Linked DNA regions of Cricetulus griseus. The protein of the gene in region 2 binds, or shares a complex with, the protein of the main gene of each other region. Links are inferred from orthologs where the notes say so. Each region holds a gene or a part of one and is shown on either strand. Other genes may lie near its edges.

The links.
Region 1: Cwc27 (region 2) and Scnm1 share a complex: the UniProt entries of both Homo sapiens proteins name them as parts of the minor spliceosome. The link is inferred for Cricetulus griseus from reciprocal best matches to the Homo sapiens genes CWC27 and SCNM1.
Region 3: Cwc27 (region 2) and Gpkow share a complex: the UniProt entries of both Homo sapiens proteins name them as parts of the minor spliceosome. The link is inferred for Cricetulus griseus from reciprocal best matches to the Homo sapiens genes CWC27 and GPKOW.

The regions. Positions count from the first base shown.
Region 1 is NW_023276806.1:61,367,392-61,371,140, reverse strand, and holds the start of Scnm1 (sodium channel modifier 1), read right to left. Parts: upstream 2,564-3,749; 5' UTR 2,448-2,563; coding exon 2,397-2,447; intron 2,012-2,396; coding exon 1,941-2,011; intron 1,702-1,940; coding exon 1,613-1,701; intron 1,516-1,612; coding exon 1,421-1,515; intron 1,321-1,420; coding exon 1,232-1,320; intron 1-1,231. Other genes in the region: Lysmd1 (lysM and putative peptidoglycan-binding domain-containing protein 1), read left to right, coding at 2,685-2,797, 3,349-3,544. UniProt on the Homo sapiens protein: As a component of the minor spliceosome, involved in the splicing of U12-type introns in pre-mRNAs. Plays a role in the regulation of primary cilia length and Hedgehog signaling.
Region 2 is NC_048595.1:323,089,904-323,093,552, forward strand, and holds part of Cwc27 (spliceosome-associated protein CWC27 homolog), read right to left. Parts: intron 1,020-3,649; coding exon 876-1,019; intron 1-875. UniProt on the Homo sapiens protein: As part of the spliceosome, plays a role in pre-mRNA splicing. Probable inactive PPIase with no peptidyl-prolyl cis-trans isomerase activity. As a component of the minor spliceosome, involved in the splicing of U12-type introns in pre-mRNAs.
Region 3 is NC_048604.1:114,158,968-114,162,716, reverse strand, and holds the start of Gpkow (G-patch domain and KOW motifs-containing protein), read right to left. Parts: upstream 2,352-3,749; 5' UTR 2,270-2,351; coding exon 2,100-2,269; intron 1,191-2,099; coding exon 1,030-1,190; intron 929-1,029; coding exon 804-928; intron 1-803. UniProt on the Homo sapiens protein: RNA-binding protein involved in pre-mRNA splicing. As a component of the minor spliceosome, involved in the splicing of U12-type introns in pre-mRNAs.

The sequences.
Region 1 (3,749 bases), on a different chromosome or scaffold from region 2:
TTTTTTTTTTTTCTTTTCCTCGGTTTTTTGAGACAAGGTTTCTCTGTGGCTTTGGAGGCTGTTGGAACTAGCTCTTGTAGATCAGGCTGGTTTAGAACTCACAGAGATCTGCCTACCTCTGCCTCCCAGAGTGCTGGGACTAAAGGCGTGAGCCACCACTGCCTGGCTAGTTCCTGAGGTTTTTTTGTTTGCTTTTTTGGAGATAGAGTACATATGATGGACCTGGAATTTACTAGGTAGATGAGGCTGTCCTTAAATTTACAGAGATCCACTTGCCTCTGCCTCCTAAGTACTGGGATTAAAAGTGTATACCACCACACCCAGCTTGAGTTCCATAAGATCTTAAATATTTTACATATGAAAGATTTTGGAATTAGGAACTTGAGAAAAGCCAGCTTAATAGTTCTACGCTTTTGCCTCAAGATTTTCCATAACCAGGTATGGTGGTACACACTTTTAGTACCTGCAGCACTTAAGGGGCAGAGAAAGGCAGATCTCTGTAAGTTTGAGGCCACCCTGGTCTAAATAGCAGGGTTCCAGGACAGCCAGGGCTACAAAGGGAGATCCCCTCTCAATAACAAACAAAAAAGTGTACCACTATGCCCAGATTATGTTACTTTTTTTTTTTTTTCCTCTGTAGCCCCGGCTGGCCTGGAACTCAGAGACCCACTGGCCTTGCTTCTGGAGTGCCAGGATTAAAGGCGTGTGCCACCATCCAGCAATAATGTTACTATTTTTTTGTGTGTGTGTGCATTATTTTGTTTTTCAAGGCAGGGTTTTTGTTTGTTTGGTGTAGACTTGGCTGTCCTGGAACTCACTCTATAGATCAGAGATCTACTTGCCTTGTCTCCGGAGTGCTGGGATTAAAGTGTGAGCCACCAACACCCGGCTAAAATTTATTTTAAAATCACAAACTATCACCAGGCGATGGTGTCCCACGCCTTTAATTGCAGTACTCAGGAGGCAGAGGCAGGGGGATCTCTGTGAGTTCGAGGCCAGCCTGGTCACCAGAGCAAGTGCCAGGATAGGCTCCAAAGCTACAGAGAGAAACTCTTGTCTTGAAAAACCAAAACAAAAAACAAAAACAAAACAAACCACAAACTATCATTTTTCTTTAAACAACATCTCCACAAGATTAGTGTTTCTCAGAGTACAGTTTGGAGAGCAGTAACTTCAGAACCATCTATTTCCTTCTACCCTTTCCCACTTCCGGATTTCCCCCTCTACAGACCTGTGCTTCCTCCGGCAGCAACTGCTATAGTGAGGAGCTCTGTGCAGAGCACTCTGGGTGATTAATCGAGTCTGGGTTAGCAAAGGTGCCTGGTTATCAAGAGAAGAAGACACAGTTGGAGATGTTAGGCAAAAGTCCTGTTGCATGCAGTACAGCCCTGCCTGAACAACACCTGACCAGATCTCTCACCTCGGCTTTGCTTTCTGTCTTCAATTCATTTTGCTGTCTTGGTTTTTGCTCTGTTTTCTTGCCTGATTGCTTTTTGCCATAGAAGAGCTTCAAACCTGAAAAGGAAAGCAAGCACAACATCAAGTAGACTGACAAAATGTTCAGAGTGTATTCTCTATCATTCCTCCACTCCCCGCCTTCTCCTGTACTTACTGGATAGGTGCTTCTTGCCTGCACGGTGGGCAGTCAGCATGGCCAGCGTGTCCAGGACTGGTCGATGGGGGCAGATAGCGCAAGCAAAGCTAGGGAAAAGAGAAGTGAATGGCAAACCCGTATGTGTTGGAGAGCCGGTGGTTGGGGTGTTCCTACTTAGGGGCTATGCCTGTCAAAGCACTCCACCAACGCCCAGGTCTCCCGATCGCCACCTCTTCCAATCTTCACTTCCAACCAAAGGATCTATTACACTCCTGATCTCCTTAGAAACCAAAGTCTGTTGAGCCTCTGATAGCAAATCCCCAGGCTTGATCCACTCTGCTCTCACCGTCCATCCCGCAGCATTAGCGCCTCATCCTCTGGGATGTAACTGGCCAGCAAGTCTCCAACTCTTCGTTTCTGCAGAGAGCAGGACAGGAGAAACGAATATGAGGGATGGATGAAAAGAAATAACAGGGATAAAGAGTCAAATGGAGCAGACCATAGGGTAAGAAGGAGGAGGCATCACTCAGTTCTGGCCCCCGAAACCCCCTCCCACAGATGTCGCCAGAGCAACAAAACAATGCAAAGCGCGACTGAAGCTGGGCTCTCCCTCTCTCTAGTTCTTTGATTTTTCGAGACAGGGTTTCTTCGTGTAGCCTTGACTGTTCTAGAGCTGGCTGTGTGGACCAGGCTGGCCTCGAACCTCAAACGCAACACGGACACACCGGCTTTTGCCTCGCAAGTGCTGGGATTCAAAGCGTGCGCCACCACTGCTCGTGGGTAGACTCTCACTAGGGCTTACTTTGAGCACATTGAGCTGACTCCAGTCGTCACCTTCCCTCTTGAAAGACATCACGACTGTGAGTCTTAGAAATAATAAATTCTCCTACGCCTACTTTGCCTCTCCTTCGGGCCACCGTAGGAAGAGTAGGTTATCGCCTTCCCTGCTTCCGGTCTTTTTCTGATTAAGTCTTTACTTCCGGGGATGCGTTTCCACGCATGCACCGCGCGAGCCGGAAGACCCGCCTCCAGAGCCCTGAGGGTGCCTGCATTTCCTATGATGCCCTGAGAACGCTTTGCCTTTTGGGAAATGAAGTCTTTTAGTTATTTTCTTTTTTTTGTTGTTTTTAAAAGACCTCACCGCTCACCTGAGTACAGGCACTCACATCGCGAAGGACCCAGGTGTTTGGAGACCAAGAACCTGTACGTGGAGCCGGAGTTTCAGGGTGGGACCCTCCTGGCGTGGAGCGAGGCTTCGGGGATCTCAGTGGACCGTGTACTGCAAACTCTCTCAGTCCCCAGGCTCACCGTCCACAGCCACGATCTACCTGGGGTGGGCCTGATTTGGAGCAGAGAGGATGTGGGGGCTCCCGGCGGCCCGGCTGCGGGACGTGGGGACACACTGAGGGGAGAGTGTTGATGAGGGTGTCTAGGGTTCAAAGGTCAGAGATCAGGCTTGCAAGGAGTTGGGGAGAGGGCGTCGAAAGTCGAAGGGGTCGGCGACCGACCACTCAGGGAAGATATTTATGGGCAAGGGTCTTGAGGAAGGAGAAATGTAACCGGCCTGGCAGCCTTCTTAGGGTACGGACTGTGACCCCAAGCTCGGTAAGCAGCAGCAAGAGGAGCATTGATGTAGTCTCTCGAGAGCGGGGACACTAAAGAGAGAAGTGAGAAGGAATTCCTAGAATATCTATCCATTCCTGGGGTTCGGCCCTCACTGTTGGTCACTTAGCTTTCCTCAGTTGTGACCCTAGATCTTGGCATCTTGAGATGGCTTCTCCCTCTAGACAGCCCCCACTTGGGGGGTCAGGGCTGCTGCATGGGAGCCGTGCTCGTTCTTATGGAAGCCTGGTACAATCATCGTGCTCCCCGGTGAGGGAAAGACGCTTGGAGCATCAGTTGGAGCCTGGAGACACCCTGGCTGGACTAGCACTCAAATACGGGGTGACGGTGAGTCTTCCAAGGATTGTGGTGTGGTGACCATTCAGGAGAGATTTAGTGCCCAGGAGAAACTGGGTGGTCTGCTAAGCGGCCTTCCCTGATGTTATATTAATTATATTGTGGTCTCTGCTTTGTCTTATTTTGTTTACACCTCTCAGGGTAGCACTATCCACACTCACAGACCTGCCCTACTATCCCAGTGGGAGGAGCAGCT
Region 2 (3,649 bases):
CAAGTCTCATCTTGCTAATAAAAAAAAAAAAAAAAAGTTACAAGTAGGAAAAAATCCATGATTGCCAGAAAAACCTGCATTAGGAATGCATCAAAGAACATGGCAGTACATATTTCCTAACTCCTGTCCTTAAGAGGTAAGCAACAATGATACATCTTACAGTTTGGGTATGACTCAAATTCAAAGGTTCAGTTGTCCAACTGTACTGAATTGTTTCCATCCTTTTATAGTCAAAACTCACTTTTGCCTAGGACATAGGGAAGCAATTCTTACTGAACCAGCAGAGGGGGCTAAAAAGCTATTAATATCTACTATGTCTAAGCATTAAATGCAGGGATATTCAGATGAGAAGGGAAGAGGATGAGGGAGAGACACCTTCAGGATCCCTCTCTAAAGAGAACTGTTGAAAATTCTATCGGAAGATCATGTTTTCATTTGTTGTTAAATGTCAGCAGGATTAAATAGATAACTGTTCAAAGTAATGATTCCAGTAAAGTTTTAATTACTAATACAACTTCCACTTTAAATTTAAGGGGATTTACCATTGGTAACTTTAAATTGTAAAATAGTTTTGGCTAAGTATCTTTTTAAAAGTACAAACAACACTGGCTAAGTGGCCTTAAGTAGCTAATGCCACCACTGTGACAAAGAATATGTGTAGACGACAAATGACTGGCTTAAAGTACCCAAAGTTCAGGTAGTCCTTTAAAGTTCAGCATAATAGGAACATACTCCATCATTTTCGAAAACAGTAAGTAAAACAGCATAACATTTTTGAAGACAGACATTATGTGTTAATTGTGGATGTACCATAGAAACTTAAAGAGTATCATAAAACCAAAACCGAACTACACACTTAACAAATGGACACTAACCTTTCCAAAGATGGTGTGCTTATTGTTAAGTTCATCTGCTCGACCCAGGGTAAAGAAAAACTGGCTGCCATTATCATGTGGACCAGCATTTGCCATGGCAACCAGTCCTCTCCTATTAAAACGCAACCTGGAGTGAAATTCATCCTGCAAGAATGAAAGAGATTTAGTGACTGTTCTCAGTCACAAGACCCTTCATATTCAATCAGCTATGCAGCAGACTAGTGAGGCTCAGACAATTTCTAATAAAAAATGCTGAAGCTTTATTTAACTGATTTTGAAGTACAATCAAATCCAAATTTACTATCTGTTCAATCTTCTTCAACCTGAATTCAGCAACTTGTATCTTCTAAATATATTCAGCCACATAGCTGTTTATGGAAGTCTACATACACACAGAGGAAGGGACTCAGAGGGACTCAGGGTCTAATATCATTTCCCTACGAAAGAAACCTATCTTTGAGTCACTGTGAAGCCGCCAGCTAGTCTCCTTCCAATCTGGATCCACATGTTTTGAAGCAGTGGCTTTCTTCTTGTTTTTTTTTTTTTTTTTTTTTTTAAATTCAGAGACCTAATCAAGTTGTGTTAGTGATTTTACTGTGCTTTTAAAAGCCCTAAGAATCCCTAAGTTGACTCTTCAGGGATGGCAAGAGTCTCACTTGGCAGATTGTAACAGTGCAGGACCACTGTTCCTTGGGTACTTTCCTTGTTCTGAGAGCTACTTAGGATTTCCCCTCAGACCTACACTGGGATCATCTATGATACACCCATCTCTGTAATCAGTGCTTTTCAAGCATTAGATGCTATTTTTCTTTAATACATTCTTCTTAAGAGTTGAACTCAGTCCATTGCACCAGGAACCAGAGAGCCAAACAACTTGACCTCTGACTGATAGCTTTCAAAAGGAATGAGAGTAAAATACTCCTGTTGTTTAAATCCCCTGAATGTGTGGCATTTCTACACCATGTGTCCTGGACAGTTCTATGTCAGTTTGACACAAACTAAAGTCATCTGAGAGGAGGGAACTTTGATTAAGAAAATGCCTCCATCAGATCAGGCTGTAAAGCATTTTCATGGTTGCTGGTTAATGGTAGAGGGCCTAGCCCACTGTTGGGTGGTACCATCCCTGGGTTGGTGGTTCTGGGCTCCACAAGAAAGCAAGTTGAACAAGGAGCAAGCCAGTAAGCAGCACCCCTCCATGGCCTCTGCATCAGCCCCTGCCTTCAGGTTCCTGCCCTGCCTGAGTTCCCACCCTCACTGCTTTTGATGACAGGCTGTTATGTGAAACAGTGAGTGAAATAAACCCTGTCCTCCCCTAGTTGCTTTCGGTCATGGTATTTTACCACAACAACAGTAACCCTATTGTAGTATTTTAAAATAACAAAGCAAAAATCTCAGAAAGGAAACACCAACAGAGAAGTTAGGATAAACAATGGGATTAAATTAAATTAAATAAATATCCTGATACATGGATATTTCCTACAAAGTAGAGGTCCTAAAATTATGAGATGTGATTAACAGTGACAACTGAGATTTTTTTAAATACTGTGTCTTACTTTCCAGGGTGACTATAGTCTGGAGACAAAGTTTAAAAAGAAGTTCCACTGTTTTTCTCAACAATCAAGATCATGCTGTTGTGAGAAACTGTGGCACATGCCAGCAATCCTAGCACGCAGGCGGCTCAGGCACAAAGACAGTCACAAATTTAAGGCTAGTCTGTACTATACTGAAATTCTAACCAAGGCAACATAGCAGGACCCTCGATAGAAACTTTGAAATAATTAGAAATAACAGTGACCCAGGAAAAGATGAAAGGAGTCTCCAGACACTCTTTCCTACTAGAATAAATATGAAGTTTTCAAAAGTTTCCTGGTTTTTAGAACCACTGACAGTTATTCACTCAAAGAACCATATTTAAGTCCATAATTGTCCCTAATTTCTTAAACAGATTAACTCTTTTCCTTCTTAAGTTTATGCTAGTACTCAAGAAGTCACAGTCCAGACTAGAGAAATGGCTCAGCAGTTAAGAGCACTTGTTAATCTTGCAGAGAACCTGGATTCAATTCCCAGAATCCACATGGTACTTCACAACCATCAATAATTCCAGTTCCAGGGTTCCAATGCCCTCTTTTGACCTTGGCTGTCAGCAAGCAGCACATGGTAAACTTAAAACATTCAAACAAAACATTCACACATAAAACAAATAAATCTAATAAAAAATTTAAATAAGAAATTATGTATCCATTTTTGATTAATATATCTTTTCCCTAATATTTTTAGCTCTTCCTTCTGCTCACTTATGACTGTCAATCATGCATGGCTTTGTGCTATAGCATTCTTTTGTGGACAGTAAGTACATAATATACAGTAAGCTCCAGTGTGGAAGCTTGGTTCCTCAAAAGCTTTATATTGGTCTTAATCCCTGGTGCAGCTGTATTTGTGGCTCTGACAAGGTGGTGATCGTTATAAACATGAAAAGCTGAGAAGAAGTCATAAGGGTTGTGTTCCCATTCTAGTCCAATAGGGTTCATGGCCTTAAAAGCAAAGATCAGGGCATCAGACCTGGCTGTTTCATCCCCAGAGCTCTTCAAGGCAGGAAGTGGGGCGGTCAGACACTATGACTTGGACTTCCTAGCCTCCACAACTGAAAGAAAGAAATTCTCATTTCTCCCCAGACTGTTGTAGCCCAAGGAGACTACTGAAAATTCCATATAATATTTAAATCAAATTATTTTAATCTAAAATAGCACATGCAATGTTTAAAACTTGGCTGTTGA
Region 3 (3,749 bases), on a different chromosome or scaffold from region 2:
AGCAAAAATGTACTGAGACATATCTCTTTCTTGTCTCACCAGACCCTAACCTTCCAGGCTTCATTCCTGCCACTCTTCTGAGTGTCCTTACCGCCTCTATCCTGAACTTAGGCTACTTGCTTCCCTCCTTACCTTCACTATTAGTCATATTTGGGTCACAGCAGCCAGAGGGGATCCTGTTACAACCCTTGTCAGCTCAGAATTTTCCCATAGCTCTCATTTCACTCACACTAAAAGAAAAAGTCCTCCCCGTGGCTCAGAAGGCCCTTTTGATCTGGTCACCTCTGCCTTCATCTATGGCCTGACCCCTCATTCATTCCAATCCAGTCACACTGGTTTCCTTAGAGTTCTTTACATACTACACGTTTAAAAAGAACAAGGAAAGAAGGAAAAAAAAGAGGAAACAAGCAAAAGTGGTTCCAAAGAGTGTGTACTCTTTCTTTCTTTTTTTCTGAGAGTTTCTCTGTGGCTTTGGAGGCTGTCCTGGAACTCACTCTGTAGACCAGGCTGTTGTCGAACTCACAGAGATCTGCCTGCCTCTGCCTCCCAACAGTGTGTACTCTGATAGCATTTGTATTTCCCATCCACTCTGCTGTCCACCTCTATCAGATAATACCAGAATTCAAGTACTTTTTGGGACAGCCTGCTATCTATTTGTTAAAGCTTCTAATAAGGATGGAAGGGAGAAAGGCTAGTTGGCAAGGCTCTGGGACACACATGCACAGTTTCCCTGCTATGTGCAAGGAGGCTAGCCAGACGGGGTAGAGGCAATGATGGGGGAGGATGGCAAAGGGGCAGCTCACTGTCTCAGCCTGAGGTTCGCTGTCTGTTCCTTCCCCACTGGGATTGCATCCTTTCTGGATCATGGGAATAGTGAGCGTGGGGTCAACACCTGCATTCTCCCTCTCCTCCAGGGACTTCTTGGATTCTAAGGAAGAATGGGAGGATCAATGAGGCCATACTCTATCCTTCCAACTTCCTCCTTGTCTACCTGTACTGGGGCAGAGCAAAGGGGGAGGTTTCACTTACCCTCAATGAGCTCCTTCACAGCCTGGGACAGCACACCATCTGACATTAATACAGTCTTAGTTTCTGAGGATGTCTTAGGGCTCTTGGCCAGTGGTTGCCTCCGAGAGCCATTCTGGATCAATGGGATGACTAGTTCCTTGGGGGCTTCTGGAGGGTTCACACTGATGTGGGGACAGAGAGAAAAGGTTAGGAAAGTACAAGTGTTAGAAAGTGGAGATATCTACACCCAGCCGAAGGACCATGTTCCACAAGTTATTTTTCCGCAGGTCCTCCCATTTCTTTTCGAAACAGTTATCTCACTATGTAGCCCAGTCTGGTCTTATAAACTCTGTCCTCTTGGTGCAACCTTTTAGTGCTGAAATTACAAGCAAGCATCACCTCTCCTCGTGTCCTCAGCTTTAAATGTGTCTTATGGAAATCATTCCTGGACTCTCAACCACAATGACTTACAAATCACCATCTTCGGTCGAGATTCTCCCCAGTTTCAGGCTAGCAAACAGCCTTCCGGACAGCTGTCTTCCATTAGTCCCTCCCTTAGGTCTTTCAGATCAGTTTCTTAATTATGCTGCTGATGGCCTCCCCAAACCTGTATTTGCCGCATTCTCCAAATCGGAGAAGCTTCCACTATTTCAGTTGAGACACTAAAAGTCTTGTCATTCTCCCTCCTTTTCCTTTCTCAAAACGCACATGTCCTCAAGTCCCAATGACTTTTTCTCTGAGGAATATATACCTTTGGTTATCAGGCGCCATTTTCACCCACCTCTCTAACAAACCTCCTCCTTGCCCTTAAATTATTAAATTTAATAATAAATTAAATTTTAATTATTTTTCTCTCTTTTTAAATATAGGCTCTCATACAGCCCAGGCTAGCGTTCAACTCTTGATCCTCCGGTGCCAACCTCCCGGGTCCTGACATTAATAAACATTTGCCACCACTCCCGGATGCCTCCATAAACTTCTTGAGGCCGTGTTTGAGGCCTTCTAAATCACTGTCATCAGGGCAAACAACTCGTATTCTGCCCTCCGCCCACCGCACCGATTTCCAAAACGTGAAAGACCCAGCGTTTCACCTCTGTAGCTCCCTTCCTTCCACGGTCGTTAAGAAATCTTTCTCCTCAGAGGCCCGTCCTGTGCCATCTCTGGGGTCTGTCAGTCGCCTCCGGGCAGACGTGCGAGTGAAACCGAAAGAAATCGGGGCCGTTGAAGGGGCAGCCCGCGGCACACTGTTTGGGTCCGCCATCTTGTCCCGAGTCCCAGGCTAGCGCACTGCTTGCTGGGAAGTTTAGTTTAAGCTCAATTCGCTAGGGGCCGGCCGAGACGCAATGCCTCAAGGACAGGTCTTGAAGCCGTGGGAAAAACCGATCACGCTGGTAAACGGTTTGAAATGTCATAGGAACGCGCCGCGCCGCGCATTCTGGGAAATGTAGTTCTCAGTGATATAACCGTGGTGGCAGATTGATTCTCCCTAGGTTTTCAACCATTTGTAATGCAGGTCTAGGGGATCCGACACTGTCTTCCGAACTCCGCAGGTGACACACATAAATAAATGCAGGCAAAATGCTTATATACACAAAATCGGGCTGGAGAGATGGTTCAGAGGTTAAGAGCACTGACTGTTCTTCCAGAGGTCCTGAGTTCAATTCCCAGCAACCACATGGTGGCTCACAACCATCCATTATGAGGTCTAGTGCCCTCTTCTAGTGTGCATATCTACATGGAAGCAGAATGTTGTATGCACAATAAATAAATAAATCTTTAAAAAATGCCTCTGCCTCTGCCTCTGCCGGGCTGGAATTTAAAGTGTTCACTACCACGCCCGGCTTACTTATTTTTATTTTGTGTGCATTGGTGTTCTGCCTGCATGTATGTCTGTGAGAGGGTGTAGGAGCTCTTGAAACTGGAATTACAAAGCAGGAGGAATTGTCACAAGTCTAAGACAAACTCTATATGAGCTGCCATGTGGATGCTGGGCATTGAACCTGGGTTCTCTGGAGGAGGAGCCGGTGCTCTTCACCTCTGAGCCATCTCTCCAGCCCTGGAATACTTTCTATGTTGCAGTTTTCTGAGCTTTTGGATGAGGCAATGTCTTCTGGTCTTCGGCATAAAGGACAGGGAACTGCCAGGCTGGGACCCCTTTGCCTGGGTGCTAGCTCTTTCTTTCTTTCTTTCTTTCTTTCTTTCTTTCTTTCTTTCTTTCTTTCTTTCTTTCTCTCTCTCTCTCTCTCTCTCTCTCTCTCTCTCTCTCTCTCTCTCTCTCTCTTTCCATCCCTCCCTCCCTCCCTCCCTTCCACCCTCTCTCTCCCTCTCTCTCTTTCTTGGTGAGAGCAGGACTGTTGTTGCAAGTTCAGCCTTAACAACAGGTGGTGGTTGGGAGGGTCAGAATATATATTCTTTGAAATTCCTCCCTCTCCCCTTTTTAGACAGGGTCTCATTATAAGCAATGAGTGGCCTAGAACCCACCGACATTTGCCTGCTTCTGCCTCCTAAGTGCAGAAATTAAAGGAATGTGCCATCACATCCAGCCCCCATATATATTTTTTTTTTACCTAAATGACCCTGGGGATTTTCCATAACAATATTATAAATTATCAAAAACATGAGATTAACATTTGCATAATACTGTTTCTTTTTAATCACTGAGCCACACCTCTAGCCCTGGGTGTAACTCTGTTAAATAAACTATTGTCCTTTTTCCCTTCCAGGATCCAGTCTAGTGTCTA